Stegostoma tigrinum: one gene and its partners. The protein of the gene in region 1 purifies or fractionates together with the protein of each later gene. This does not show direct contact. Links are inferred from orthologs where the notes say so. Each region holds a gene or a part of one and is shown in the gene's direction. Other genes may lie near its edges.

Region 1 (7,417 bases):
ATAGTACAGAGATAAGTTAGTCCAATGCTAATAATCTCATATTTCATCTTTTTTGTGTCAAACCTGCCAAGAATTTCCATTAATTCTCTTCTTTGTTACTTACAACTAATTCCTTATCCACCTCTAAGATTTCCCCAAGATACCCATCCTTTTAAGGTGATATAGCAGTATTCCAACCATAGTTCAACCAAGGTGTTTGGCTTTCTGAAAGGATGGTACTCGGTATTACAGGACTTTCCATTATCAATTTGGGATATGTCACAAAGTTTCGAGGGGAAAGATTGCTTCTGGATGAACAGGTCTGGACAAACAAACAAATTTATTTAATCATTCTCTTGAAAATAGTTATTTTATTATTCAAATGTTTTTTGGATCACTAAATTACATTTGATGACATTTAATTAATATCATAAAATTTAACCTTGGAATTTAAATCTTTCAACACCTGTTTTTATGTGGTCCGGGATCAACAACAGCCTGTGAACAGAGTTGCTACAACAATAAAAGAAATAGACAATATTTGTACAGGTACTTCCAAAATATTTGAGTAATTTTCAAAAACTCCATTCAGAGAAATCAACATCTCAGCATAGAACAATTACTGAAAACAGCAGCAACAGAACAATGTAAGTAAGTGTGGATCTTAGGCATATCCTCATTGAGTATTACCTCAATTAATGAAAAATAAGTCACTTCTATTTTGGCAAAATTGAGGCACAAAAATAATGGGTTAAGTGGTCAGAAGGAAGTAAACATCTGCTGACATTCTATGTGCATGAGGCATTACCACTGTAGATTGTGATTGTTTCCAGCATGAATTATTGTGAGCATGTTTGGTACTTTCTGGAGAAAAGCCAAAGAACAACTTGTACCTTACCTGTCAATCACCAACTCAAATAGCACAATATGAGAATGCTGTGTGAACTCTGGGTCATCTTCTACATAATCAAAACGGTTCAATAAAGTAACAAGATCCAAATCACATGATGTTTTATCTGGAAACTTCCATGATGGATAGCGAACTGCACCAACTCGTGAAAATACATCTATGATTATCCCTTGTACATCTGTGACATCCTTGCGCAAACCATCCAAACAGTTTTGATTTCCTAAAAGTAGTGTCATTTTAATGGCCTTGAAATCAGAATATGAAATGCACCTTCTTATGAAAATTGAAACTGCTATTTCTGTATAAAGTATCTGAGCCTGTAATAATAACTCCACGAGGGCAATTTATCTGCAAGAAATAGAAAATAATTAGATTAAGAAAGTTGATTCAACGATTTTAAGCAAATATCACCTTTAAGTTGTAATTTAATGTAAATACAGTATTGTTTACTTTGTACTAACCTTATAAAATATCTGCTACCAGATTAAAAATATTTTCACACGACTTAATGCACAATATGATCTACAAATTATTGCAAGTATAAGTCTACATACAAAGCAGTAATATTTAATATGTTGGCAGTTGCTGTCAAAAGAATTGACAGAATTTTACACGAACCACAGTGATAATGAACGTTCATAGTTTTCCAGTAGTGCTGGTTTACTAATATCACACATGACAATAAAAATATCTGCCCAACAGCCATTACTACTAATATTTATGTTTCCTAAATGAAAGAATTAGGCATGGAATTCAATTTTTGGGTAATTTAAAAAATTATTTCCTGAAGTTAATAGTTGTTTATTAACAATAGGATTTAATGGAACTGATGGAGGGGGAAAATGCAAGTCCCTTACACCATGCTTTATATGCAGAAATTGCAACCATTCTAACAGCTTTCTGATTTATAATTCTGCAGTAGAATGTTGTATTGGAGTAATCACAATTCTGTAGCCTTGATTGAGAACAAAACCAACTACTGTTATAGATACAAAAGCATCTTGGTAATTTCTGCATCTTGCATAAATACTTAAAAAGATCCTTCTTTACATTATTTTTCTGGAGGAATTCAGTGGAAGGAGGGATGACAGAGGAAATTAGATAAGGCTCATTATTCATCGTCCAAGAAGTTGAAGTAGTTGTTTGGGGCTGACAAAGAGAAGAAAAGATTATATTTGGCAGCAGTGTCTTCTATTGTTTAAAAAAATCTGCTCACACGATGAAAGAGTCAGTTGGACGAAGAATCAACAGTTAGCATGTTCATGGGCCTTCTTGGGATTCAAATACTAGGTCGTATAGGTTTAAGGTGAGGGGGCCAAGTTTAAAGGAGATATGCGAGGCAAATTTTTATTTTTACACAGTGGGTGGTGCGTGCCTGGAATGCACTGCAAAGAAGAGTGGTTAAGCAGACACAACAGCACTGTGTAAGAGGCATTTAGACAGACACATGAACAGGCAGGGAGTAGAGGGCTAAAGACTATGTGCAGACAGATGAGAATAGTTTAGAACAGCATCATGGTCAGCACAGACATGTTGAGGCAAAGAGCCTGTTTCAGTGTTGCACAGTTCTATGTTCTATCTTCCGACATCAGGAAAGATGGACCAAAAGCAGCATTTCCCAAGTCAATTTGTCCAGCATCATGACTGATCAATTAAAACTAGCTCGATGAGGTAAGACATGTTGTTCATAGCCTGACACCAGGCTCCTGAAGCAACTGCTCTACTCAGAACTTGCTTATAAGAACATAGGAACAGGAGTAGTCCTTTGAACTTGATCCACCATTCAATGAGACATGGCTGATCTGTGGCCTAAATTCCCACATACCTATCTTTGGTCCACATCCCATTAATACCTTTGCTTAACAAAAATGTATCTACCTCAGATTTAAAATTGGCTACTGATTTAACATCAATTACTGTCTGCAGAAGAGTTCTAAACCTCTATCACCCTCTGTGTGTCTAGACGTGCTTCCTAACACCTCTCCTGAATAGCCTGCCCCTAACTTTTAGACTACATACTCCTTGTTTGAAAATTGCCAGCCAGCGGAAATAGTTTACCTTATCTATTCTGTTGCAAAAGGAAGACTGTGGAAATGCTTTAGGCAGTCCTTAAAACACCCTTAAAGAGGTCAAACATTCCCCTCGACCTGGCTTGTGTGGGAACCAAAATAAGAAGATTCATTCAGGAAATCGCTGAACACATGCAGAAACCTTGTTGAGACGAAGTCAAGGTTTTGGGTAAAACCTCCAAACGATTCCTGCACCCCCAGGCAGTCAGTCAGTCAGTCAAACAGCACCAACTTTGCCCCACATGTAACAGACTTTGCAAATGGGTGCATTGGACTGCTTGGACATTTGAGAACCAATGGAAGTGAGTCAGCATCAGTCCCAAAGCACTGCCTCAGATGGAATAGTATCTAGAGGGGAGGTTGGGGGAAGGGACATTGCGGTGGAAGGAAGAAGCACCTTGAGGAAGTTTAAGGGAAAAGCACTTCAGGAAGGAGAAGGAAACCTCAAGCAGGAGGGGGATGGAGGACGAATCACCTCGAGGAAGGGGAGGGAAACACATCCTCAGAGGGCGGGTGTGGAGAAGAGGAGCACCCCCAACGGACGTGTTTGGTCATGGTGGGGGGGGACGGGGGGGACGGCTGCATTTCAAAACCTCAAAGCACCCACGCCCCCCTCCGCATCCCACTGAGCCGAAATTTGCCCCATATTGAATAAGCAATGAATCATTCATTTGTTAGCACCAGGGTTCCAAGCCCAAGATATATCGCGGCGGCAAGAAGTGGCATGATGGGAATACGCTGGACAAATAATTTTAGGTATGAAGTCCTAGAATCAAGTTTCACCGACTCCAAAGGTGCGCCTGATGAGGTTGATTCAAACTTCGTCACTGAGCCTGTACCTACCTGCGATTGACCGTTAGCTTCACTCCGGCTGTTGACTACGTGCTGTCATGGACGCACGTAACGTAACTGTAACGTCATCGTGCGTTTACGTACCTGCTCGTCATAAGACGTAAGGACTGTGCCAGGCAAACTAACAACAAACACGAGACTTTACCGTTCAAACATAATAAAAACAGTATTATAAGAAAAGTAGTGAATAATTAAACGGTGGTGAGAGATGGAAACCGAATTAAATGTGTGGGAAGAACTTTTATGTTATGTGCATATCCCATTTCCCCCCCCCCATGAAGAGGTGGATGGTGCGGGCCGTAGCCGCCATCTTGTTTAGCCCGAGTTTTGTTCGCGGAACGGCTGGGGTGGGGGATTGCACTTCTAAACCCTGTTCGGTGCCGAAGCCATGCCGGCCGGACCTGTACAGGCGTTGCCGCCACCTCAGACTGAAAATAACCAGGTGGGTTTTAAAACAGAAAGAGGTTTCAAAAAAAAACCTTGGCCCGGTGTGGTGCCCCCCCCCCCCCCCCATCCATGCCAGAATAAGAGAAAACTGAGGCCTCCAAACCGCAGGCTCTGGGCCTGGAACTCGCATATTGGTCTTGGATCCCCGGATTCCGAGCTCGTGGCTATTATCCTTTCTCCAGGCTGTATTATCTGTTGGTTATGCAAGCTGAGTCCTGGAAAAATCTGTCAGGCGCACGATCAAATAATTCACACAAAATTAAATGCGAAAGAACTGTGGATGTTGTAAATCGGGGACAAAAACAAAGTTGCTGCAAAAGCTCAGCGGGTTTGGCAGCATCTGTGAAGGAAAAAAAGCGTTAATGTTTCTGATCCGGTGACTCTTCCTCCAAATGTGTGTAAATAATCCACACGTTGGCGGAATGTTAGTCTGATTTATCACAAGTGTCCGGTCGTTCAGAGGCAACAAGGGCTGTGTTTATCATGCATTAAAATCGGCCGTGTTGTCAGCCTGCAATCCGGATGGTTATACGTTACTTAAATAAATCCCTTCGTCCAGCCTGCACACATTCGTAAACAGTTGATAATGGGAAATACGATACTTTGAAGTGCTGAATATTGTAAAACAGCTTATGTTAAAAGACTTTAGTATTACAACTATTACTGATTACTTTTATAGCATTATGGTATTGTCATTAAAGTAGGTGCGGATAAAAGTTTATCTGTCAGTTGGACGGAGAAGATGGAGGTGAACAAAGTACACTACAGGGCACCTAAATTGTAGTCAAATTGTATATTCTCGAGTTCATATGGTCCAGATGTGCTCGATCCCAGTACAACAGTAAATAATTAGCATGGATCTTTACGGAACTAACAAGTTTTCATTTGCCCAATACAGTATAGGTAGAAAAACTGAAAAGAATGCACGTGTTCCAAGTCCAAAAATCTTAGGCAAAAAAATCCAAAAAGTAATATTGTTTGCTTTGCGGAGGGGTGATGGCAATTTATGATGAGTTAAAATTGTGCAGTCTACCATCACAAAGCACTGAAATATACTTTGCTGCTTGCCCAGGTAGACCACCTTTGTAGCATATTGACTGTAATGATATCTTCAGCTAACTAGGGAGAATTCTGTACCCCTTTGGCAGCTGTAATCCATCAATGAGACAGATTAGCATAGTGCTTTGGAGTGCTGTGCACTTGTCTGGTTTTAGTTTTTGCAGTATTTGAAAATGTTGTTCTCAGATATGTGATTTTGGAGCTGTATTAACCTGTTTACTCCAGTCCAGACCCCAGCATGATGATTGGACAACTGGTATGTCAAAACAGTTGGGGAGGTAGCGACTTCCTATAATTTACCTCAACGGCTTGGTCATCAGCATAAATTGTGCTGAAGTATATGTGCTGTTGCCATCCTAACATAGCATGAGTGTTTTTATTTCAACGAATGATGTGTTTTGGCGGTTAATTGGAACAAAAGTGTCATTTCTACAATCTGATTCTGTCATCTGCAGACATGAACTTATGATTATGATAATTTTTAAAGTCATTAAGCTGCTTAAAGATGATTAAGAATTTAGTGACACTTGTTTAATTTTCTTTTAAAGTTGCCAGAAGAAACAAAAGATGAATCTGCAACATCCAAACCCATTGTTGGTATTATTTATCCTCCTCCTGAAGTCAGAAACATCGTAGATAAGACTGCAAGTTTTGTAGCGAGGTGAGTGCTAAATTCCAACAACTGCATGTTGTATTTGCTATACTAAACCCTTTGAGTTTAAAAGTGCAAATCATTTTGCTTTGATTAGGAATGGTCCTGAATTTGAAGCTCGAATCCGTCAAAATGAGATAAACAACTCCAAGTTTAACTTCTTGAATCCAAATGATCCTTACCATGCATATTACCGGCACAAGGTTAATGAGTTCAAGGAGGGGAAAGGACAAGAACCTTCAGCTGCTATACCGAAGGTTATGCAGCAGCAGCAGCAGCAACAACAGCTGCCGCAGAAGGTGAGTAATTTGACGGTAATGATAGTTTGTAATTATGTAAATACTTCTTAACAGATAAATGTCTTGAAACATTTCACATGAGTATTAATAAATGAAATTTGACACTGAATATTCTGAGTAAATATCAGGATGGCTAATCGACAACTTGATCAAAAAGGAGGATTTTGGGGAGCATCTCAAGGGAAAAGAGAGCATTTAAGGCAGTGGCTTACAGAGGGAATTCCATACTTATAGCCTTAGCAATGAAAACATGGCTGTGGAAGGTGGAGTAATTAAGATTAGGAAAAGGAGGACAGAATTGAAGACACAGATTTTGGAGGGTGTAATGCTGTTAGAATCCTCTGAAATGGGAGGGGTGACTCCATGAAGTTATGGTGTAAATTTTATATGAAAACTAAAAATGCCGTAATTACTCAACAACACTGGCAGTATCTATGGAGAAGGAAGAAAGATTTAACATTTCAGTTCTGACTTTGAACCACCAAATTTTTATTACAATGGAGAGTGCAGGAGGGCATGCCATAAGCAGCACCAGGCATACCTAAAAATGAGGTGTCAACCTGGCAAAGCTACCAAACAGCATGAGCAGCAAGTGATAGACAGAGTTTTGTGACCCCGCAATCAATATATTAGATCTAAGCTCTGAAATCCTGCCACTTGACATCATGAATTGAGATGGACAACCAAACAACTCACTGGAGGTGGAAGCTCCATGAATATCCCCATCCTCAATGATGGAACAGCCCAGCACGTCCGTGCAAAAGATAAGGCTAAAGCATTCACAGCAGTCTTTAGCCAGAAGTGACAAGTGGATGATCTGTCTCGGTTTCCTTCAGTGCCCCCTAGTATCACAGATGCCAGTCTTCAGCCAATTTGATTCACTCCACATGATATCAAGAAACAGTTAGAGGCCATGGCTACTGCAAAGACTTAGGGCGCTGACAACATTCCAGCAACAGTACAGAAGACTTGTGCTCCAGAGCCTTCCACTCGCCCAGCCAGGATGTTCCAGTACAGCCAAAGCACTGGTATTGCTGATAATGTGGAAAATTGCCCAGGTATGTTCTGTACAAAAATCAGGGCAAAATCAAACAAGCAATTACCTACCTACTTTTGATCATCAGTAAAGTGATGAAATGTGTCATCACCA
Region 2 (8,001 bases), on another chromosome or scaffold:
CTTAATTTCTGCATTTATACAATCTAGCACATCAGAGCTGATATGCAACATCTATTACAGTTTTAGATCCTTTGCTGTTTGCTTTACTCTTCCTCAGTTCCTCCCAAACGGTCTCCACAGAATGCTTTGCCCCTGTCACAATTAATATGTCTAACAATTCTTATGTCTAATCCAGAGATAGTAGGAACTGCTGATGCTGGAGAATCTGAAATAACAGGGTGTAGAGCTGGATGAACACAGCAGGCCAAGCAGCATCGGAGGAGCAGGAAAGCTGACGTTTTGGGTAGAGATCCTTCTTCAGAACTGATCATAGCTAGGAAAAGGTTGGTGTTTATGTAGAAGATGAAGTGGGCGGAAAAGGGGAGGAATAAACAAGTCTTGACCTGAAACGTCAACTTTCCTGTTCCTCTGATGCTGCTTGGCCTGCTGTGTTCATCCAGCTCTACACGTTGTTATCTCTTATGTCTAATCCATATGGCTACTCCACCTCTTCCACTATTTTACCTGTCTGTCCTGTAAACCTTATAAAATTATGTATTTAGTTCCCAATCCTGCAGCCATGTCTCAGTAATGGCGATTATATCATAATTTCTAATTTGAATTTGTGCCTGCAGCTCATTTAGTTTATTCCTTCTGCTCCATGCATTCGTATATAGAACACTGTAACTGATGCTTTATTCACCTATTTATTATTTGTCTCTCTTTATTTAATGAATACACTTCTTATAATATGCCATTACTTGTACTTAAAGTACTACCTGAACTCTTAGACTTGACTAGTTATAATTGTATCACCATGATGTACTGTACCTACACCTCAATTCTACAGGAGGATTTTCAGTTATATAGTACCTTTCGTAAACACCAGATAACCCAAATTGTTTACAACTGATTAAGTATTTTTAAACTGCAGCTGCTGTTGGAGAAAATGCAGTAGCCAATTTGTAAACAGCAAATTCCCAAAAATGCCAATGTGATGACTAATACATCTGCCTTTGTCATACTGATTGAGGGAGAAATATTTGCAGAATACCTCAGAAGAGGACTCTTGTCCAAAGAAATAGGCATAGAGGCATAGGCAATGGACAAAGAGTTCAATGTCATATTGTATCAGTAATGCATGAAGGTGGGAGTGCAGGGGAATAAAACTAAGACCTTTACTGAGTACAAAACATTCAGAGAGCGGAAGGTCAGAAGGGGTAGTAAATGCATGACAGAGGTTGGGGTTGGGGTTGGCGGGGTGCTGGAGTTGAAGGAAAGGAAGATTTTGAACTGTATGATTTGTTGGAAAATTGAAGGAAATTGCTGAAACACTACCACATTTTCTTTGGCGATCCTGTGGCCTTCTGGACTCTATCATAAAGTTCAATAATGTTTGTGCCTAAGTGCACACCACCCCACCCCCAACCATTTCATTGTCAGCTACTAATGGTCCCCATTAGCAGTTAGTCATTCTCCCACACTAGCCTTTACCAATTCCTTTTTCTGTCCAACTGGTGTTTTCTCTGTCTGGGATTCTTCTCCACTTATCTTTTCCTCTACCGGACATGCATATGGTCACAGAAATTTGAGGGTGCATACATGAGGATCAATGGTCGGCACAACATCGTGGGCTGAAGGGCCTGTTCTGTGCTGTGCTGTTCTATGTTCTAAACTTCATTGACTCTTCTATGAAATTGTGCCTTGAGTTTTTTTACATCCACATATGAGGGCAAATACAGCCTGTGTTTAAGATCTCATCCGACACAACACTACTGACACTTAAGCACTCCCCCAGTTCAGCAGTACTGCGCTGAATGTCAGTATGTTTTTTTGCTCAAAGTCTGGAGTGGAACTTGAGACAACAATCTTCTAATTCAATGGTGAATGTGCTACCAATGAGTTTGACTAACATTGTGCCCTAAACCTCTGTACCTCTTCAACTCTCTTTATTCTTTAAGATTCTCCTTAAAACCTTCTTAAAATCTTTTCCTCATTTAATCCCATAGATAGTTCAGTATGAAGCAACTTGTGATATTTTACTATTTTATAGGTACTATATAAGTGTAAATAAAAAACTGTTTACAATGATCGGATAAAATTCACACTCTGGTTCTGGCTGACTATTTTAACAACAAAAGATTAAAGAAAACATACTTCCATTGTGTGAACATAACAGTTATCAGATCTGGGTTTAAAGATGAAAGATTATTGTATTAGCCATGGTCTCATCGAGTGACGGACCAAAGTCATGGGCTAAATGGCTTACTTATGCTGCTCCATTTGATGGCCTTATAAACACTGACATGACATTTCCGAAAGTTAGTGTCTATTATTCATTTAACAAAAAAAACGGAAGAACTGCCGATGCTGGAGATCAGAAACAAAAACAGAAATTGCTGGAAAATCTCAAAAGGTCTGGCAGCATCTGTGGAGAGAAAGCAGAGTTAACATTTTGGGTCCAGTGACCCTTCTTCAGAAATGATGGTAGCTAGGTAAAGGTTTGTTTGTATGTTGTGGGGTAGTGGGTAGTAGAAATGATAAGTGAAGATGGGGCTCAAAGACAGAGAAACAGTTGGATAGATGAAAGAATGAGTAAAGGTCAATCTAGAAGAATGAATAGCTGCTAATGGTGACTATTAGTAGCTAACAATGGGTTGTGTGTGGTAGCAGCCTGTGATGGGAAAGCCTGATGTGTGGGGGTTGGGGTAAGGACATAGGAGAAGGTGCTCAAGGCCGAAAATTGTTGAACTGTATTGAATCCAGAAGGCTGCAGAGTTCCCAAGCAGAAAATGAGGTGCCTTTCTTCCATCTTGCACTGAGCTTTGCTGAAGCACTGCAACAAGTCAGAGACGGAGATGTTGGCTAGGGAGCAGGCTGGAGTGTTAAAGTGGCAGGCAATGGGAAACTCAGTTTTTTTTGTGGATAGAATGCAGGTGTTCAACAAAGTGGTCACTCAGTCAGCTCTTTCTTTCCCCAATGTGGAGGAGACTACATTGTGAGCAGCAAATGCAGTAGACTAGATTGTGTGAGCGCTGGTTCACCTGGAAGGTGGGTTTGGGCCTTGAATGGTGAGGAGGGAGTAAGTCAATGGGCAGGTGCTACACCTTCTGTAATTGCAGGGGATGGTGCCGTAGGGCTACGGGTACATTTTTGGAATGAAGGAGGAGTGGACAAAGGTATTCCAGAGGTAACAGGGAAGGGAATATGTATCTACTGGTGGCATCTCGCTGGAGGTTGCAGGAACAGTTGTTTATGATCCTGTAGATGTGGATTCTCGTGGGATGTTAGGAGAGGACAATGCGGACTCTGTTGTTGTGGGTGGGAAGAAAGGGCATGAGAGCTGAAGCGCAGGAGCTGGGCTGGACCTATCTGAGGTCCCTGCCAGCCAGGGAACTGGGGAAAGGACAACGCATAACTCATTGACAGCTACTAATAGTTCCCATTAGCAGCTATTCAATCTCCCAGTTTGACCTTTACCCATTCCTTTGTCTGTCTTTGGTTTCCAACTCCACCTGTTGTTTACTCTTCCCCTTCTCCCCCACTTCATCTTCTTCATAAATGCCAACCTTTTCCTAGCTATGATCGGTTCTGAAGGGTCACTGGACCCAAAACACTAACTCTATTTTCTCTCTACAGATGCTGTCAGACCTGCTTTCTGTTTGCATCTATTATTTATTTATTGTTTACTAATCAAAATTTGCAATTATGTACATGTCAATCCTTAATTAACCAACATGTAACAAATGACCAATATAGTGGAGATAACAAGGTGTTGAGCTGGATGAACATGGCAGACCAAGCAGCATCAGAGGAGCAGGAAGGCTGATGTTGTGGGCCTCGACCCTTCTGGAAATGTCAGCCTTCCTGGTCCTCTGATGCTGCTTGGCCTGTGTGTTCATCCAGCTCTACACCTTGTTATCTCAGATTCTCCAGCATCTGCAGTTCCTACTATCTCTGAACCAATAGACACCACTGAACGCTCAGATGGAAGATATTCAGAGAGCTGCAAAATTACTTAGGACTGAATTTTATCTTCAGGACTGTGAGAACCATAGCTCACTATGTAACCAAAATACTGTTAATGTTGGAAATATAAAACTAAAACAAAGTGCTAGAAATGCTCTCCAGGTCTGGCAACCTTTGCTAACAGCTGGATCTTCTGATGAGTGGCGATCGCCTTTGCATTGCTACTGCACTCTTTATTCTGCATAGGATCAGCATTGTAAGTTACACCCTATTTGAGGCAGTAATTGGTCTATTCCATGATATTAAAGTCGCAAGATAATTTGACAAGCTAATTTAACAAGGCTCAGAAGGGGGCAACGTGAAAGATAAGGAGTGTAAGTCATGGGGTAGTTTTTTTGGGGGTGCACTCCACAGTGAACTGGGGATGGGACATCAGATTTTAATCCTTTCCTTGGGTGAGGACGCGTTGTAGACTTTCATATTGGGTCGTTGAGGCTGGGTGAATTTAAGCATACTGGTGATTCAATCTTTTTTATATCACCAGTTAGCTTACTCATATGAATTGCCAGAGGAAATGGTAGATGCAGGTTTAGTTACGACATTTGAGATACATTTGGGTGGGTATATGAAAAGGAAAAGTTTATAGTGATATGAGCCAAATAGAGATAAACGGGACTAATTGAGATGGGAGAGAGAGAGAGAGAGATAATGGGAACTGCAGATGCTGGAGATTCCAAGATAATAAAATGTGAGGCTGGATGAACACAGCAGGCCAAGCAGCATCTCAGGAGCATAAAAGCTGACGTTTCGGGCCTAGACCCTTCATCAGAGATGGAGTCTAGGCCCGAAACGTCAGCTTTTGTGCTCCTGAGATGCTGCTTGGCCTGCTGTGTTCATCCAGCCTCACATTTCATTATCTCAAAACAGCACGGGGCGGTTTGATGAGGTCATCAACGCGCGACGCAGATGGTTGGTCGCGCGTTGAAGAGGTCATCAACGCGCGACGCGGATGGTCGGTCGCGCGAGTCGGAGAAAGATCGAGAAGTAAAAACCCTCGTGAGCGTGATAGTGAGGAGTAGGTATGGAGTTGTGCTTCGGTGGGGTCGGCGAATGGGACTGCTCACTTTAATAAAATAGTCTGCTTCTCCGACCGAAAACTGGTCTCGGTTGCTGTCTCCAGTGTTCCAAGTGTGTTTGGCGTGTAGTTGCAGTCGGGTTTGAGGAAACACTATGCCGGTTGTAGTCCACCTTACGTATTTGGTTTGTAGTAACCTAGAAGCAGCAACTCCTCTTTCCCGCCGTCAGTAATCCCGTAGCATTTTCCAGAGATGTTCAGAAATAAACTGAAACCGAAAGGAAGAATGAGGAAGGGCCTGGCGGGGTGAGCTGAAAGCCTGTGAATGCAATGTAGTATGTGAGAAGGTCGGAAAACATTAGTGCGGTGAGTTGTAGGAGCTTAGAGGTAAACTAAAGAAAGGAATTAAACAGGAATTTTAGATTGAGTAGTCTAGAAGCCACCGTAGTAACGCGGTCACAGTGAGAGGTGAGCGGAACCGAGTTTACGATGGGATACGTGTTGCCAAGTTTTGGAGGAGTTTGTGTTTTAACATGTGGAGGCTAAGAGCATCTTGAAATAATTGTTTGCGGACCAAAATTTCGGGGATGGATGGGCGAGGTCAGAGCTACATTTAAATAAAAAATATGTTTCTTCTGTTTTTGGATATCGTAACGTTGCTTTTCCATGCAGTAGAGAGGTTGAGAGAACAAGAGTGAAAGTGTGGAAGCATGTAAACAAGAAAGGGAAAAAGTCCCGAAATAAATACTAGTTGGGTTACTATTGGGGTAGTAAGTGGGTTGACCTACACCCTTTCATCTAGCCTGCTCAGTTATCTCGGATGGAGATTTCTAGACATTCACAACCCTCCTGAAAGGGGGATAGTCATCTCTTTAAAAATCCATTGTGGAATCAGAGAACACCTGACAATGGTTTGTGATTCTCCCAGCAATGGTAAAATCTTTTGAACACTTACCTTGTCAAGCCCACCCACCATCTAAGATGTTTCAATTAGATCAGCCCTTGTTCTTCTAAACTCTATAAAGGCCTAAGCCTTTGCTTGATAAGTTAAGGCCAGATCCCAGGAATCAGCCTAGTAAATCTGTTTTGAACTACGTGCAGTGCCAGTATATTCTTTCCTGAATACATGGACCAAAACTAAAGACAGTACTCCATGTGCAGCCTCACCCTGTACCCAGCTGTAATAATTTCCCTGTTTTTAACTTCTGACCCTGAACAATAGAGTCAAAAATTGTTTGTCGCCTTAATTATTTGTCGAAGCTGCGTGCTATATTATTGCATTTCATTTGCAAAAGCTTTCAGATCCTATGTTGCTGTCTTGTGGAGTCTATCTCCATTTTAAATAATAGTCTGCCTTTTGACCTGATAATTTGTTACATTAAATTTGTCTGCCAAGGTTTTGTCCACTCTCTCATTCTCTGTTCCCTTGCAGATTCTTTGCCTTCACTATATGCACTGCTACCTATATTTGTGTTATCAGCAAATTTGGATATATTACACTTTGACCCTGCCAAGCCATCAATATTGATAGCTTGATGGATAATATTTGAGACTCTGCAGCTCTCCACTAGTTGCATCTTTTACAACCTGAAAAAGTCCCCTTAATCCTGGCTCTCTCTGTCTTCTGCATGTAAACCAACATTTCTCATTTTAATTCATTGCCTCCAGTACTGAGAACTACTTTCAAAAAGTAACATAGTGAATTGAGGGCAAAGCGTTGGACGTGATTTGTATGGACTTCAGAATGGATTCAACAAGGTTCCGCATGGCAGACTGGTAGTGAGGTTAGATCGCATAGAATACAGGGAGAACTAGCCATTTGGATGCAGAACTGCTTCAAAGGTGGAAGACAGAAAGACAGAGGGTGATGGTGAAGAATTGCTTTTCAGACTGATAATTGACTCCTAAATTGGTGGTGAAGTGGACAGCCAAGAAGGTTACCTCACAGTACAATGGGACCTTGATCAGATGGCCCTGTGTGTCATGGAGATGGAGTTTAATTTAGACAAATGTGAGCCCCTGCATTTTGGAAAGGCAAATTAGGGTAAGACTTATATACGTAACGGTAAGATCCTGGGGAGTGTTGTCGAATAAAGCGACCTTGGAGTGCAGGTTCATGATTCCTTGAAAGTGGAATGGCAGGCAGATAGGATATTGAAGAAGGTGTTTGGTATGCTTGCCTTTATTGGTCGGTGCATTGAATATAGCAGCTGGGAGGTTGTGTTACAGCTGTGCAGGATATAGGTTTGGCCACTTGTAGAATATTGCATTCAATTCTGGTCTCCCTGCTATAGGAAGGATGTTGTGATCCTTGAAAGGACTCAGAAAAGATTTACAAGTATGTTGCCAGGGTTGGAGAGTTTGAGGGAGAAGCAGAATAGGCTGGGGCTATTTTTTCTGGAGCATTGGAGACTGAGGGGTGTCCTTAGAGATTCATAAAATGATGGCTAGAGTGAATAGGCAAGGGTGGAGGAGTCCAAAACTAGAGGGCATGGGTTTAAAGTTGGAGGGGGAAGATTTAAAAGGGACCTAAGGGGCAACTTTTTCAAACAAGGGGTGGTGCCTACGTGGAAAGAGCTGCTAGAGGAAGGGGTGGAGGCTGGTACAATTACAGCATTTAAAAGGCATTTGGATGGGTATGTGAATAGGAAAGGTTTAGAGGGATATGGGCCAAATTCTGGCAAATGGGACTAGATTAATTTAAGATATCTGGTTGGCATGGGCAAGTTAGACTGAAGAATCTGTTTCCATGCTGTGTGATTCTGTAATTAACCTGTTATGGGGCACCTTATCGTATACTTTCTGGAAATCCAAACATATTATATCTTTTGGTTCCCCTTCTCAACTCTGCTTGTTATATCCCCAAAGAACGCTACCAAATTTATCAAACATGATTCCCCTTTTACAGAACTGTGTGGGCTCAGTTTGATTGTTAAGCTTTTCTAATAACTTGCTATTTCTTTTCTTGATAATGGACT
Region 3 (7,328 bases), on another chromosome or scaffold:
TCTAGCCTATCCAGCCTCTCCTTATAAATCGACCCTTCAGTCCTGCAACATCCTTGTAAATTTTTTTCTGCGCCCTTTCTAGTTTAACAACATCCTTCCTATAGCAGAATTGTATGTAGTATTTCCATTTGTGGCCTCACTAATGTCCTGACAGCTGCAATATGACTTCCCAACTCCTATACTCAATGCACTGACCAATGAAGGCAAGCATGCCAAATGCCTTCTTCACCACCCCATGTAACTGCAACGCGACTCTCAAGGAACTACAAACCTGCGCCCCAGGTTCCTCTGTTCAACAACATTCCACAGGCCCCTATCATCAACTGTTGGACATAAAATCCTACTCTGCTTTGCCTTACCAAAATAGAACACCTTGATTTAACTAAATTAATCTCCAGCTGCTACTTCTCGGCCAATTGGCCCATCTGATCAAGATCTCATTGTACTCTTAGGTAACCTTCTTCACTATCGACCACACCACCAACTTTAGTGTCATCTTCAAATTTAGTAACTATACCTCTTAAAATTTCATCCAAATCACAAATATAAACAACAAACAGTAGACTGAGAACCTATCTTGCACGCACTGCTGGTCACAAACATCCAGTCTGAACAACAACCCTCTACATCCACTTTCTGTCTCCTACCATCAAGTCAATTTTTGTATCCAATTGGCTAACGCTCTGTGGATCCCATGTGACTTAACCTTACTAAGCAGCCTACCACACAGAACCATGTCGAATACCTCGCTAAAGTCAATGTAGACAACATCTACCGCTCTGCCTTCATCTATCTTCTTCGTGACCTCTTCAAATAACTCCATCAAGTTTGTGAGACACATTTTCTCAGGTTAACGGTCCCCTCCAGTTCAGGTTCAGCCCAGCCCTCTTGAAAAGGTCACTTCTGCCCCAGAAGAGATCCCAATCATCCAAAAATCTGAATCTCTGCCTCCTGCACCAGCTCCTCAGCCACCCAATCATCTGCCCTATCTTCCTATTCCTACTGTCACCAGCATTTGGCACCAGGAGTAATTCAGTGATTACTACCCTTGAGCTCCTGCTTTTTAACCTCCTGCCTAACTCCCTGTGTTCTCCCTGTAAAACCTCATCCCTTCCTCAACCTATGTCAATGGTACCTGTGTGTTTAATGTCTTCCGTCTGTTCACTCGCCCTTTATGAATTTTGCTGTGCCTTCTCCAACACGTCCTTGCCTCTGGCACTAACCCAAGAAAGGGTCAATGCCCTTAGATGCTGATAATAAATAAGTAAATAAAGTCATCTTTGGCTTTTAGAGTCATTGAGATGTACAGCATGGAAACAGACCCTTTGGTCCAACTCGCCCATGCCGACCAGCAATCCTAAATTAATCTAGTCCCATTTGCCAGCATTTAGCTCATATCCCTTTAAACTCTTTCTATTCACGTACCCCCATCCAAATGCCTTTTAAATGTTGCAATTGTACCAGCCTCCATCACCTCTTTTGGCAACTCATTCCGTACTGAATGAGTATGGAATGAGCTACCAATTCCAGCAGCTCATTCCATACTCATTCAGTATGGAATGAGCTGCCAAAAGAGCTCATTTAAAAGTGCAAGGTGTACTTTTAAATCTTTCACCTCTCACCTTAAACCTAAGCTGTCTAGTTTTGGACTTTCTACCCTGGGGAGAAGTCCTCGGCTATTCACTTTATCCATACCCTTCATGATTTTATCAAACTCTGTATAAGGTCACCCCTCAGTTTCTGACACTCCAAGGAAAATAGCCCCAGCCCATTCAACTCTCCCTGAAGCTCAAAACCTCCAACCCTGGCAACATCCTCCAGTTCTTTCAGTTTTTAAAATTTTAAAAAATCTTCTCTTTCAAGTTTCACATCCATCCTACAGCAGGGAGACCAAGATTGAATGCAGTGTTCCAAAAGTGGCCTAACCAATGTCCTGTGCAGCTGCAATATGACATCCCAAGTCATATATTCAATGCACCGACCAATGAAGGCAAGCATTCCAAACCTCATCACCGTTTTCATAGACATCTCAATATATGTCAGCAACGAATCTCACATTTGTTGCTTTGTTCTGGTCATTTTCTATATTAACCAGCTCAGTGATGTTTTACACACTCTGGAGCAGGAAGGGCTTGAATCTAGGCCTCCTGTATCAGGGGTAGGGATTTTACCACTGCACCACATAGACTTGCTCTAGATTGTTACCCCATAAGCAACCTATTCAGATGTGAAACCTCTTATTAAAACCTCCAGGGCAAGGTGGGTGTTGAACGCAGGTCTCCTGGCTGAAAGGAAAAGGCACTACTGCTGTACCACATGGCCACATGTCAGGTTCTTGTTCTAACCCAGAGGACTAATACAATTAATGCAATTTGTCGAACATTGTGTGTAAACCAGTTACAGTCTCCTATTTACCGTCATACCCAACAAAAACACAGTTGCTGGAAAAGCTCAGCAGGTCTGGTAGCATCTGTGAAGGAAAAAACAGAGTAACGTTTAGGGTCCAGTGACCCTTCCTCAGAACTGAGGGTGGCTGGGAAAACGTCAGTTTATATGCAGAAAATAGAGAGTGGGGTGGGGAGTAAACAATAGGATTGAGCCCAAAGAGAGAGAAAGACAGTTGGACAGACAAAGGAGTTGATTACAATCTGGCTGGGAGGGTGAATAGTTACTGACTACTAACAGGAAGTTATAACATGGCAGGCTATGTGGTAACAAGAGATAGTAGGAACTGCTGATGCTGGAGAATCTGAGATAACAAGGTACAGAACTGGATGAACACGGCAGGCCAAGCAGCATCAGAGGAGCAGGAAAACTGATGCTTCGTGTCGAGCCTCTTCTTCAGAAATGGGGAAAGGTAAGGGGATTCTGAAATAAATAGGGAGGGAGGGGGAGGCGGATAGAAGATGGATAAAAGAGAAGATAGGGTGAGAGGAGATAGACAGGTCAAAGAGGCAGGGATGGAGCCAGTAAAGATGAATGTAGGTGGGGAATCAGGGAGGGGATAGTTTGATCCAGGGAGGACGGACAGGTCAAAGAGGCGGCATGAGGTTGGTGGGTAGGGGATGGGAGTGGGGGTTTGAGGTGGGAGGAGGGGATGGGTGAGAGGAAGAACAGGTTAGGGAGGCAGGGACAAGTTTGGCTGGTTTTGGGATGCAGTGGGGGGGGGGGGGGGGTGAGATTTTGAAGCTTGTGAAGTCCACATTGATACCATTGGGCTGCAGGGTTCCCAAGCGGAAATGAGTTGCTGTTCCTGCAGCTTTCGGGTGGCATCTTTTTGGCACTGCAGGAGGCGCAGGATGGACATGTCATCTGCGGAATGGGAGGAGGCATTGAAATGGTTTGCGACTGGGAGGTGCAGTGGATTGTTGCGAACTGAGCGGAGGTGTTCTGCAAAGCGGTCTCCAAGCCTCTGCTTGGTTTCCCCAATGTAGAGGAGGCCACACCAGGTACAGCAGATGCAGTATACCACATTGGCAGATGTGCAGGTGAACAAGTGTGTGGTAACAAGGCTTGGTATGTGGGGTTGGGAAGCTGGGATATAGGACAGTTTAGGCCCTAAAATTATTGACCTGCTGAGCTTTTCCAACCACCTCTGCTTTTGTTCCAGATTTATAGCATCCCCAATCCTTTCAGTTTTTACCATCAGACCCAATAGGGGCGGTATCAACTGACAAGTCCAATCACTATCCGTGTTTCCGTGTCAATCAGTTTGTCTTGTCCAATAGAAATCGGAATATGCGTCGTCGCCCCGCGGAAATGATCCAATCAGAAACGGATTCTGCCGTGTCCAATCAACTGCCGAAACCGGTGGTATTAACAGCCCAACGTGCAGGCATCGTGAACTTATTGGTCTATATGCCTGTCGATCGACAATGTTATCCAACCACCTGCCGCTATGGGCGGGATGTTGATGACGTTCGGCATGTCCACCAATCAGAGTGGCGATAGGGTTTGCTCCCTGGGCCTTAGGTTGGGTTCGACGCCTTTTCGAAGCCTCGGCGTAGGCTGCGGCCGCGGGGCAAAATGAGCGTTTTTTTACAGAAACACGATGTTATTTTTGTAAGTGAATCGTATAACTCCGAGATGACAGCTCCGAATTCAACATTCCTTGTTCGCTGAGCTGGTCTTTGAGGGTAGGCCTCAGCTGAAGCCTCGGCCTCGATTTATTTTGTTGGTCTCCCACGGCATTAACGGCTTCTTTATCACTTCCCCTTCAGGAACCGTATGGTCCTACTTTTTCTCTCTTTTCTATGTTTTGACTTAATAAGTAAAGTCGCAGAGCAGCTGCCCCAGTTTTGTCAACCACATTGATTTCAGAGTCCCAAGTGAAAGTGAGCTTCTTTACACTGTCTCTGTGTTGCTGCTCAGTAGTTGTTGGAGCTGACAGGCAGTCATATTGCTACTGGCTGATCGGAGGTAATTTGTTCGCCCTCGAGAGAGCCGGCATGTGAAAGGAAGAATTTGAATTTATATAGTGCCTTTTTTCAGCCTCAAAATCCCTACAGTGTAGAAGCAGGCCTTTCAGCCCTCGCTGACCTTCCGGAGAGCATCCCATCCAGATACCACTCACTCATCACCACCTCCCCAGCCTCATTTTCCATGGTTAACCCACTTAGCCTGCACAACCCTGAACACTATGGGCAATGTAGTATGGCCAGTATACCCTAACCTGGACGTCTTTGGACTGTGGGAGGAAACCCACATAGACACAGGGAGAATGTGAAAACTCTACACAGACAATTGCTTGGGGGTGGAATCAAGCCCATGGAAGGGCCTAGGCCCGAAGCGTCAGCTTTCCGGCACCGATGCTGCTGCTGCTTGGCCTGCTGTATTCATCCAGCTCTACACCTTGTTATCCCATGTCACTGGCACTGTGAGGCAGCAGTGCTAACCACTGAGCCAGCCTACCAACATCTCATCCGCACTCCATGACCAATGATGTGCTTCACTCGTGTCAGATATGAAATACAGCAGCTATATGTTCTACAGCAAGCTCCCACAGATAGCAGTGTAATTATGAGCAGATCATTATGTCATGTTAGCTGACTAGGACACTGGGGAGAGATACCAGTGCTCAGAAATAGCACCATGGGATCTTTCACATTCACCTGCTAGAGCTGACAGAGCCTCAGTTTATGAATATATGAAATAGAAGCAGGAATAGGTCATTTAAATCCTCAACCTGTATGGAACGAGCTGTCAGAGGAAATGATAGAGGCGGGTACAATTACAACATTTAAAAGACGTTTGAACAGGTACATTGAAAGGAAAGGATTAGAGGTATAAGGTTTAAACGCAGTCAAATGGGGCTAGTTCAGTTTAGGACACCTGGTTGGCATGAACGCGTTGGACCAAAGGGTCTGTTTCCATGCTGTATGACTCTCTTTAAGTCTGCTCAACCATTCAGAAAGGTAATGGCAATACCAACTCCTGCTGACCCACCAGTGACCTTTTGACCTTGTGTGAACAGTGGTGGCACTGACAGCACAGCCCTCCTTCGGGACTCAGCTGGGAGCATCAGCCTTGAATATTGTGCTGAAATCCTAGACTGGGATTTGAACTCAAATGACGTGTAATCAACAATAGCTTCAGTAAGTAATACATTTGAAGGAAGCATTTTGCGACTGACAGATGATTCTTTTCCATAGTTTACACTTCAGTTCTTTAGATTGCAGTACTCAGCTTCAAGAAGATACTTCTCAAAAACTATATTTGCACTGAATGCTGAAAATTGGCCTACAAATCTTTAATTCTGTAAACCTAACTTGTCGACTTAAAAATGATTGTCAGCAGATACGACAGTTGTGGAAAAGAAACCTGAGATTTGATACCAGTTAAGTACCTTACTGCATTGGTAAACATTGTATAAACAGGGCAGCCCCAGCAAAAGATTGTCTTCAACTATCCTTTGTCAAATGTTTACAAAATTGCTGTTTGTTGCTCAAGTCAAATACTTCAGTCTTGCTGTTCGTGTTCCCAAAATACATTTGGAGTGTCAGGATTGTAAATTCTTGATATGCCATTTGGTTACAGCTTGGGCTTGGCTGTTACAAGTAACACCAAGCTGAACACAAATTGCTGCGTGAACTAATTGTATAATTCCAAGTTAAATGCTAAGTACAAAAACATTTTCTTTCTTCAGAAGTGCGTTAGAAAGTTCACAAAGAAGTTTCGAAGAACTTTTTGTAATAGATAAATTGATAGTGACAGATCAGTTTTACTTTATCAAGTTGCTGTTTGTGTTGTCAAAGGTGACATTTTACATGCTGTCAGTGCCACATTTTCCCCGAGAGTCTGATAGCTGGTGACTTGCGTGCATCCCCTGGGCTTCATTCTGTCCACTTGTTTGAATCTCTTTGACAGGAAGATGATGATCTGCCATATGAAGAAGAGATCATTCGCAATCCTTACTCTGTTAAATGCTGGATCCGCTACATAGAGTTTAAGCAGTCTGCACCCATACATGTGGTGAACATGATTTACGAGAGAGCGCTTAAAGAACTTCCTGGCAGGTATTGTTTCTTAGTGGAAGCAACAAGGTCTAGTGATTACATGGGGGCATTAGAGACTTTTGAGATCAACACCTGACAGAAGCTGAGATAACAAGGTGTAAAGCTGGATGAACACAGCAGGCCAAGCAGCATCAGAGGAGCAGGAAGGCTGATGTTTTGGGCCTAGACAAATGTCAGCCTTCCTGTTCCCCAGATGCTGCTTGGCCTGCTGTGTTCATCCAGCTTTACACCTTGTTATCTCAGATTCTCCAGCATCTGCAGTTCCTACTATCACTAACAGAAGCTAATGGTTTGTTCAAAAGATCAAAGATTAAGCATAGATCAAATTTTGTATCTTGTCTGCATCAATCACACAGTTTATGCAAAAGAATTTTGCCTTGTGATGTGTCAGTTGCTGGTGTTTTTAATAATCCTTGATAGCAGTGGTTTACATGTAACTGGAATTAACAGCTTTCGCCCACTTGGAGCTTTTGCTTCAGAGGTGTACGGTCAGCTCACTTAGTGAAGCACTTTAATGATGTGCATCTGAGGAAAACTAAATATATCAATTTTAAATTACAACAAGTTGCGTGGAGTGTAAAAGCACAGAAGCAGGCTATTCGGTTTATCAGGTCAATGGTGGTGTTTCTGCTGCTGTGTAGAAAACTCGTTCCGCAACAGAGCTTGATCAATGTGATGTCTATTCCTTTATCCAGCTTCTCCCTAAAGGTGTTGATTGTTTTCACCTCAGCTCTTCTCTGTGGCAGCAAGTTCCATATTCTGCCGAGTTTTTTGGTATTGGAGTTTCTCCTGTATTAGTCAATGGATTGATAG
Region 4 (8,108 bases), on another chromosome or scaffold:
ACACAAACACGCACACACACATGAACGCACGTACACACACAGGCACACAAACACGCACACAGTCACACAAGCATGCACATGTGAACACACCCACCCAAACACACACACACATGAACACACGTACACACACACAGGCACACAAACACGCACACATGCACACACACACACAAACACACACCAGCCACACACATTCCCTCTCACACACACACACGCACACACACACACACACACGCACTCACACACGCACACACACACGCACTCACACATACACACACACGCACTCACACATACACACACACACACACTCACACACACACTCACACATGTACAGACACACACACGCACTCACACACACACACACACAGGACTTGCCCGGTTTCTGCTCCAGGCCATGAGCTCCACCCTGGCCTCACCAGCTGTCTCCTCTACACTGCTGTTGCCTCTTGAGGCTACCTCGCGCCTGACACACACCCTGACGGTTCGAGGCCCTCCCGGTGGTGGACCTGGTGAATCTTTTCTTTGTTTCTGACGGTTGTTTGTGGTTTTATAAGAATTTTCAGAAATAAACACTTCACTGTTAGGAACCGAGTTGTGGGTGAAGAATCTAACTTCGAACTCTTTATTCCGCGGAGCATATCACGACCGCGCTCAATCCCAGTGCTGACGCGGCTTCTCCTCTTGAGGCCTCGGAGCAGAAATAGACCATTCGGCCCATCGAGACTGTTCTTCCATTCCATGCAATGGTAGCTGATCTGACAATCCTGAACTCTACTCTCCTGCGTTGTCCCCATAATCTTTGACTCCCCTGCTGCGAAAAATGTCACCCTCAGACCTGAACGTACTTCACGAACCAACCTGGACAGCTGTCTGTTGTAAGAAATAGCCCAGATTCATCATTCCCTGATGAGAAAAAAGCATCTTCCTCTTAATTGGGCAACACTTACTCTGAGATTATGCCACAATGAAAATCACATCCACCTTGTCAAACCCCTTACAATCTTGTATTTATCCATGTGGTCTCCTCATTTTATTCCCAGCGCAACCTTCTTAACGTTTCCTCAAAAGAAATTAACTCTGTACCCTGTATCAACTAACTGAACTTTCTCTGGACTACTTCCTAATGCCAACATATCATTTCCCCAAGAGGGAGACCAAAAAGGTTCCCCCCACCGACGCTCAGTCGCAGCAGTGTCTACCATCTACAAGACGCCCTGCAGAAACTCACCGAGGCTCCTCAGACTGCACCTTCCAAACCCACCACCCACTTCCATCCAGAAGGACAAGGGACAGCAGGAACATGGGAACACCACCCCCTGCACAATCCCCTCCGAGCCACTTCCCATCTTGATTTCGAAGTGTATCGCCTGTTCCGTCACCGTTTGAGGTCAAAATCCCGGAATTCCCTCCTTAAGGGATATTGTGGGTCTACCTACGGCACACAGACTGCAGCGGCTCAAGAAGGCAGCTCCCCACCTCACGGAGGCCAACTAGGGACAGGGCAATTAATACTGGGCACGGCCAGTGACGCCCACAAAGAAACCTACAGCACAGGAACAGGCCCTTTGGCCCTCCAAGCCTGCGCCGATCAAGATCCTCGGTCTAACCTGTCATCTCTTTTCTAACGGTCGGGTCCATTTGCTCCCTGCCCATCCATGTACCTGTCCAGATATATCTTAAAAGACGCTAACGTGTCTGCGTCTACCACCTCCACTGGCAACGCGTTCCGGGCACCCACCACCCTCTGTGTAAAGAACTTTCCACGCATATCTCCCTTAAACTTTCCTCCTCTCACTTTGAACTCATGACCCCTAGTAATTGAGTCCCCCACTCAGGGAAAAAGCATTTTGCTTTCCACCCTGTCTATACCCCTCATGATTTTGTAGACCCCAATCAGGTCACCCCTCAATCTCCGTCTTTCTAATGAAAATAATCCTAATCTACTCAACCTCTCTTCATAGCTAGCACCTCCATACCAGGCAACATCCTGGTGAACCTCCTCTGCATCGTCTCCAAAGCATCCACATCCTTTTGGTAATGTGGCAACCAGAACTGTACACAGTACTCCAAATGTGGCCAAGCCAAAGTCCTACACAACTGCAACATGACCTGCCAACTCTTGTACTCAATACCCTGCCCAATGAAGGAAAGCATGCCGTATGCCTTCTTGACCACTCTATTGACCTGCGTTGTCACCTTCAGGGGAAAAATAGACCTGAACACCCAGATCTCTCTGTTCATCAATTCTCCCCAGGACTTTTCCATTTACTGTGTAGTTCACCCTCGTCCCACAAAATGAATTTTTTTAAAAAACTGTCAATTAGATAACAAGGTGTAGAGCTGGATGACCACAGCAGGCCAGGCAGCACCTGAGGAGCAGGAAGGCTGACGTTTCGATATTTCCTCTTAGTTTCAGCAGGTCGTCATAATATCTGACACTTCATTCCCTTTGAGATAAAAGCCAGCAATCCATTTGCTTTCCCATTTACCGGCTGAACCTGGGTGTTGTCTTGGTGATATTTTCCTTCCATCCCTTCTGATCCCCGCTCTCACCCCTCGTTGCGGTCCACTGTAGCGGCACGGACTCAAACTAACTCACTTTCATTTATTTCGCTCTCGTGGACGTGTCTGTGGACCGTCCTCAATTTTTGTTTGACCATTTCGGAGGCCAGTTAAGAGACAATTGCTTAGAAGCGGGAGCACGTCACTGCTTCGGGTGTTTCCTTCTCGAAAGGTCGTCAGTGATCAGATTATTTTTATTCTACAGAATTGAAACTCAGAATGGGGGTTTCAACTCCGCAATTATCCCGTTTAATTTTCTTCTGCCGCAGTAGGAATCGACCCCACGTCCCAAGAGGATGATCGGGGATGTCAGAATTATTGCAATGATGATAGTTTCACGAAGCCAGTTAATTCGCCTCAATCCATGCCCCAACACTCAGCTACAGTGATCACATCGCACTTAGAGGTGCCTCTGCACTGTCCCCCATCAAACACTCCCCAGGGCAGGGAGAGCACGGGGTTAGATACAGAGTAAAGCTCCCTCTGCACTGTCCGCCCATCAAACACTCCCCAGGACAGGGAGAGCACAGGGTTAGATACAGAGTAAAGCTCCCTCTGCACTGTCCCCCATCAAACACTCCCCAGGGCAGGGAGAGCACAGGGTTAGATACAGAGTAAAGCTCCCTCTGCACTGTCCCCCATCAAACACTCCCCAGGGGAGGGAGAGCACGGGGTTAGATACAGAGTAAAGCTCCCTCTGCACTGTCCGCCCATCAAACACTCCCAGGGACAGGGACAGCACGGGGTTAGATACAGAGTGAAGCTCCCTCTACACTGTTCCCCATCAAACACTGCCCAGGACAGGGGCAGCACAGGGTTAGATACAGAGTGAAGCTCCCTCTACACTGTCCCCCATCAAACACTCCCCAGGACAGGGGCAGCACGGGGTTAGATACAGAGTAGAGCTCCCTCAACACCGTTCCCCATCAAACACTCCCCAGGGACAGCACGGGGTTAGATTCAGAGTAAAGCTCCCTCTACAGCTCCAAACTGTACATAAAACTCTGTCAATACACTCACTCTCCCTACTGGGAGAAAAAGTTATTGAATTAAACAGTGTCGGATGCATTTGGAGGCCGGTTTGCTGAAGATCAATGAGGTTGTGCTGAGTGTGGAGAGAGTGGCCTGGATTGAGGGCTTTAGAAGGGGGAATACTTTCCATTGTACAACTTTAAATAGACTCAGCAGTAGAAGTGTGAAAGTGGATGGAGAAATCGTGCCGGAATCTGTAGCCAAAACATTTTATTGTGAAGAGACGATTAGGAGGGAAACATAATCGATTTTTTTAAAAAAGCGGGTAAATTGCCGCTTTAAGAGGGCGGGGAAGGATGTGACGTTTAGGGAGAGGGGACGGGGTGAAGGGTCAACCGGAAAGTGGCGGCCATCTTAGTCGGAGGCGACGTCTTTCGGCCGGAGCGCGAGGAGACACCGGTCCCGGCAACGGGAGCGCGCGCGGCACGCGTGTCCGACGGGGAGGGGAGCGCGCACGCCACTAAACCCCGAAAGGCGCGGCCTCGGTGAACGGCGCGCGTTCCCGGCTCGGAGCTCCCTAACAGCGCGTGAACCACAAGCGCGGGATGTAGCGCGCCCCCGTCGATTGCGAGCGCGCGACCCTGTCGCTCGCTCCCCCACCCTCCGCCGAACCTCAGCGCGCGCGCCTACCCCCCCTTTTCTGTGATTGCGCGCGCTCCCGGGGGCGCGCGTGACCGACCTGGGACGCGCGTCGTCCCCCCTCTCCCTCGTCAAACATCCATCTCTCGGGAGCGTGACCGCGCGTTTTCCGGGACAGCCGAGCCGTGGTGCGCGCGACCGACAGTTAGTGCGCGCGCGCACCCACCACCCGCGGGTGCGTGTAGAGCGCGCTCACCCCCGCCCCCCACTCCCGCCGTGGGCCGTGTGAGAGAGCGCGCGTCTGCGGTGAGTTGCGCGTGATCGAGTGCGCGCCCCCTGCTGCTGTCAGACCCATCTCTGCACCACCCCCCCAGACACACACAGAGACAGACAGACAGAGACAGACAGACAGAGACAGACACACAGAGACACACAGACAGAGACACACAGACAGACAGAGAGAGACAGACACAGACAGAGAGACAGACAGACACACAGAGACACACAGACAGAGAGACACACAGACAGAGAGACACACAGAGACACACAGACAGAGAGACACACAGACAGACAGAGAGAGACAGACACAGACAGAGAGACAGACAGACACACAGAGACACACAGACAGAGAGACACACAGAGACACACAGACAGAGAGACACACAGACAGAGAGACACACAGAGACACACAGACAGAGAGACACACAGACAGACACAGAGAGACAGACAGACAGACACACACAGACAGACAGAGAGACAGACAGACACACAGACAGAGAGACACACAGAGACACACTGACAGAGAGACACACAGACAGACAGACAGAGAGACAGACAGACAGACACAGAGAGACAGACAGACAGACACACACAGACAGACAGACAGAGAGACAGACAGACAGACACAGAGAGACAGACAGACACACACAGACAGACAGAGAGACAGACAGACAGAGACAGAGAGACAGACAGACAGACACACACAGACACACAGACAGACACAGGGATTGGGGTTTGTGGGGGGTTTAAAGGCGGACAATGGGATCCTCCAAGAAGCACCGGGAGAGGGAGAGGGAGAGGGGCTCAGGGGGTGGGGAGGAGTCGGCCCGCCACAAGAAGCACAAACACAAGGAGCGCAAGCAGCGCGGGGGCAGCCGGGAGAGGGAGGGCCGCCGTCACCGGGACAGGGACCGCGAGCGGGACAAGAGACCCCTCCCCGCACCAGCCGCCGACGCCCAGCCAGAACGGCACCCCAAGAGGGAGAAGACCGAGGAGGCAGGTCAGAGATGCCGGGGTGACGAGAGTAATTGGGGTGGGGGTGGGAAACGGCCTAGGGTAGGGAATCTGCAGACCCCCCTGGGGCAGAGCACGGGCTGGGGGGCCAGAGTGTCTCATGTTCCCCCCCTCCCCCCCTTCCCTATCCGTTCAGGGTGGGCTTTGGTGTCAGAATCTCTTACTCTCTGCGTTGGGGGGTGCGGCTGAGGGTCAGCGTCGCTCCCTGACCCTGGCACGAGCAAGGATCGGGGCCAAAGCCCCTTCCATCTTTGAGGACTGGGGCCAGAGTCCCCCCCACTTTCCATGTCCTGGTTGGTGGGAAGGTTGGGGTCTCTCTGCAGTGAGGTGCCAGGGGAAGGGGTACCCCTTCCCCTATACCAGCCGGGGTGAGGTTGGTACAGACAGGGTCCCTCCAAGTGAGGAGTAGGGCACTGGGAGGGATTGTCGGGTGAGGGTCTTTGCGGGCAGCAGTCTGGAGGTGTGTGCAAGCCTCCTGCGGATGTGTCCCTGCAGCAAGCTTTAAGCTTTTGGACACTCCTGGATTCCAGGGGGTGGTTGTGGTCAGCGATTAGGAATGTGCTGCATGTCGAGTGAACCTGTTCTCACTGCACATTCTCTTCACCTTCAGCTCCAGGGACAAAGTCTGGTGCTGCGAGCGCCTCCTTGAGCATCGAAGAAACAAAGTGAGTGAATTTGCAGCAGTCTCGGGCCATTCGGTCCATCTGATCTGTGGTGGTGACTGTGGGACACATGAGAGGCACAGGGCTGCCCTTTCGGGACCGAGGGAGCGCTGTACTGTCGGAGGGTCAGCGCTGAGGGAGCTCCACGCTATCGTGTTAAACTGAAGCCCCATCTTCCTTGTTGGGTCGGTTATTTATAAAAAAAATCCCATAGCTAAGAAGCAAAGGACGAGCATCCTGCCTGTGTCCTTAGCGCCAGCGTTCGTTCACCACCCAGCATTAGTATCGCTGCATTGTCATTGTCATCCTTATTTGTGGGAGCTTGCTGTGCGCAGGATGGCTGGCAGATTTCAGAATTGCTTGATTGGCCGTCAAATGCTCGCGGTTGGCCCTGTGATCGGCATTTATAGAAAAGTGAAGCCTTCTGATCTAATTGTCCTCTGTTCTCTGCAGCAAGCTGAGAGCCAAGCTCGGGCTCAAACCCCTGGAAGTAAATGATTCGAAAAAGAGTGAGTCCAGTTTGTTCTGAAAGTGATTTCTGTGCTGTAGAAAGGGGGAACGGGTATCGGAGGGACCGAACAGTTGAACTGAAAGGGCCGTTCTGGATCGATTGCAGACAGAGTTGAGCAGAAATAGGACCCAGGCTACGAGTGACTTCAGTTACCTGGGGGAGGTGGCGGGGGGAGGGTTGAGGCGAGATTTGCTGGCAAACAGCACTGGTTGTGATCACGCAAGGACTGGGGGATTAATTCTACTGACAGGAGGGTGAAGGGAATCTGAAGAGTGGGAAATGAGATTTTTTTTCTGAAGTGCAGAGTTGTTGTAACTTGGAAAGTGCTTCACGAAAGGGTGGTGGGAGCAGATTCAGTGGGAACTTTTGAAGATAAATAATTGAGCTTAAAAAGTCCCAATTCCAGGACTGCGGGACAAGAACACGGTGTCTTAGCGGTGAGCACTGCTGCCTCACAGCACCAGGGACCCAGGTTCGATTCCACCCTCGGGCGACTGTCTGCATCTGCGTGGGTTTCCTCTGGGTGCTCCGGTTTCCGGAAATGCGCAGGTTAGGGTGGATTGGCCGTGCTAAATTGTCCCATAGTGTCCACGGATGTGCGGGTTAGGGTGGATTGGCCGTGCTAAATTGTCCCATAGTGCCCAGGGATGTGCAGGTTAGGGTGGGTTGGCCGTGCTAAATTGTCCCATAGTGCCCAGGGATGTGCGGGTTAGGGTGGATTGGCCGTGCTAAATTGTCCCATAGTGCCCAGGGATGTGCAGGTTAGGGTGGATTGGCCGTGCTAAATTGTCCCATAGTGCCCAGGGATGTGCGGGTTAGGGTGGGCTAAAGGTGGGAAATGTAGGGGTAGGGGAATGGGTCTGGGTGGGGTGCTGTTCGGAGGGGCAGTGTGGACCAGTTGGGCCGAATGACCTACTTACACCCTGCAGGGGCTCTGTAAACTGGGTGTGGAGGAGACTGGGACTAAATGAATCGCTCTTTCAAAAGGAGACCCACGGTGAGCTAAATGGCTTCCTGTGTTGTGTGAGAATGAAGGTGAGGGTGGTGCTGGCTTTAGGGTTAGAAAGCCTTCAGGGGAAGAGCAGGCCACTCACGAGAGATTTGGGACAGAGTCCTGGTGCTCTGACATTTGAAAATGGAATGAGAGTTTGGACCTCGAGACAAAAACCAGATGGAGCTTTTATTTTTCCCCTAGTGTTTTTACCCTTCAATTTAAGGTTGACAGCTTCACAGCTGAGAAGGCAACAGTCTCTTACTGCTAGACTTAGAGGAGGTTGTAAGGTCCAAAACCTCAGAGGCTTGGAGCCATCATCTTGGACGCGTTCCAGGGCATTGCGGTGGGTTGGCGTCTTTCAGGAGAGACCCCTTCTATGGTAATGGATCTGTGGGGATGCTGATTTGTGGAGTTCCTCCTGCAATTATGTACTCTCAGGCAGCGTGACAGGCCATCGTGACATGCCCAGACTAGTCTC

Evidence for each region.
Region 2: the proteins of sf3a1 (region 1) and snrpb2 purify together in Homo sapiens (affinity purification with mass spectrometry; 5 studies listed by BioGRID and IntAct, with this or other methods). This does not show direct contact. The link is inferred for Stegostoma tigrinum from reciprocal best matches to the Homo sapiens genes SF3A1 and SNRPB2.
Region 3: the proteins of sf3a1 (region 1) and xab2 fractionate together in Homo sapiens (co-fractionation; 3 studies listed by BioGRID and IntAct, with this or other methods). This does not show direct contact. The link is inferred for Stegostoma tigrinum from reciprocal best matches to the Homo sapiens genes SF3A1 and XAB2.
Region 4: the proteins of sf3a1 (region 1) and sart1 fractionate together in Homo sapiens (co-fractionation; 3 studies listed by BioGRID and IntAct, with this or other methods). This does not show direct contact. The link is inferred for Stegostoma tigrinum from reciprocal best matches to the Homo sapiens genes SF3A1 and SART1.

Annotation. Positions count from the first base shown.
Region 1 is NC_081379.1:23,031,922-23,039,338, forward strand, and holds the start of sf3a1 (splicing factor 3A subunit 1), read left to right. Parts: upstream 1-4,107; 5' UTR 4,108-4,198; coding exon 4,199-4,252; intron 4,253-5,864; coding exon 5,865-5,977; intron 5,978-6,065; coding exon 6,066-6,267; intron 6,268-7,417. Other genes in the region: ccdc157 (coiled-coil domain-containing protein 157), read right to left, coding at 878-1,125. UniProt on the Homo sapiens protein: Component of the 17S U2 SnRNP complex of the spliceosome, a large ribonucleoprotein complex that removes introns from transcribed pre-mRNAs.
Region 2 is NC_081371.1:23,724,859-23,732,859, forward strand, and holds the start of snrpb2 (U2 small nuclear ribonucleoprotein B''), read left to right. Parts: upstream 1-4,913; 5' UTR 4,914-5,027; intron 5,028-5,288; exon of another isoform or gene 5,289-5,389; intron 5,390-8,001. UniProt on the Homo sapiens protein: Involved in pre-mRNA splicing as component of the spliceosome. Associated with sn-RNP U2, where it contributes to the binding of stem loop IV of U2 snRNA.
Region 3 is NC_081388.1:13,420,083-13,427,410, reverse strand, and holds the start of xab2 (pre-mRNA-splicing factor SYF1), read left to right. Parts: upstream 1-3,947; 5' UTR 3,948-4,026; coding exon 4,027-4,062; exon of another isoform or gene 4,063-4,136; intron 4,137-5,335; exon of another isoform or gene 5,336-5,594; intron 5,595-6,366; coding exon 6,367-6,515; intron 6,516-7,328. UniProt on the Homo sapiens protein: Involved in pre-mRNA splicing as component of the spliceosome. Involved in transcription-coupled repair (TCR), transcription and pre-mRNA splicing.
Region 4 is NC_081395.1:7,241,476-7,249,583, forward strand, and holds the start of sart1 (U4/U6.U5 tri-snRNP-associated protein 1), read left to right. Parts: upstream 1-4,920; 5' UTR 4,921-5,208; coding exon 5,209-5,449; intron 5,450-6,073; coding exon 6,074-6,128; intron 6,129-6,578; coding exon 6,579-6,634; intron 6,635-8,108. UniProt on the Homo sapiens protein: Plays a role in mRNA splicing as a component of the U4/U6-U5 tri-snRNP, one of the building blocks of the spliceosome. May also bind to DNA.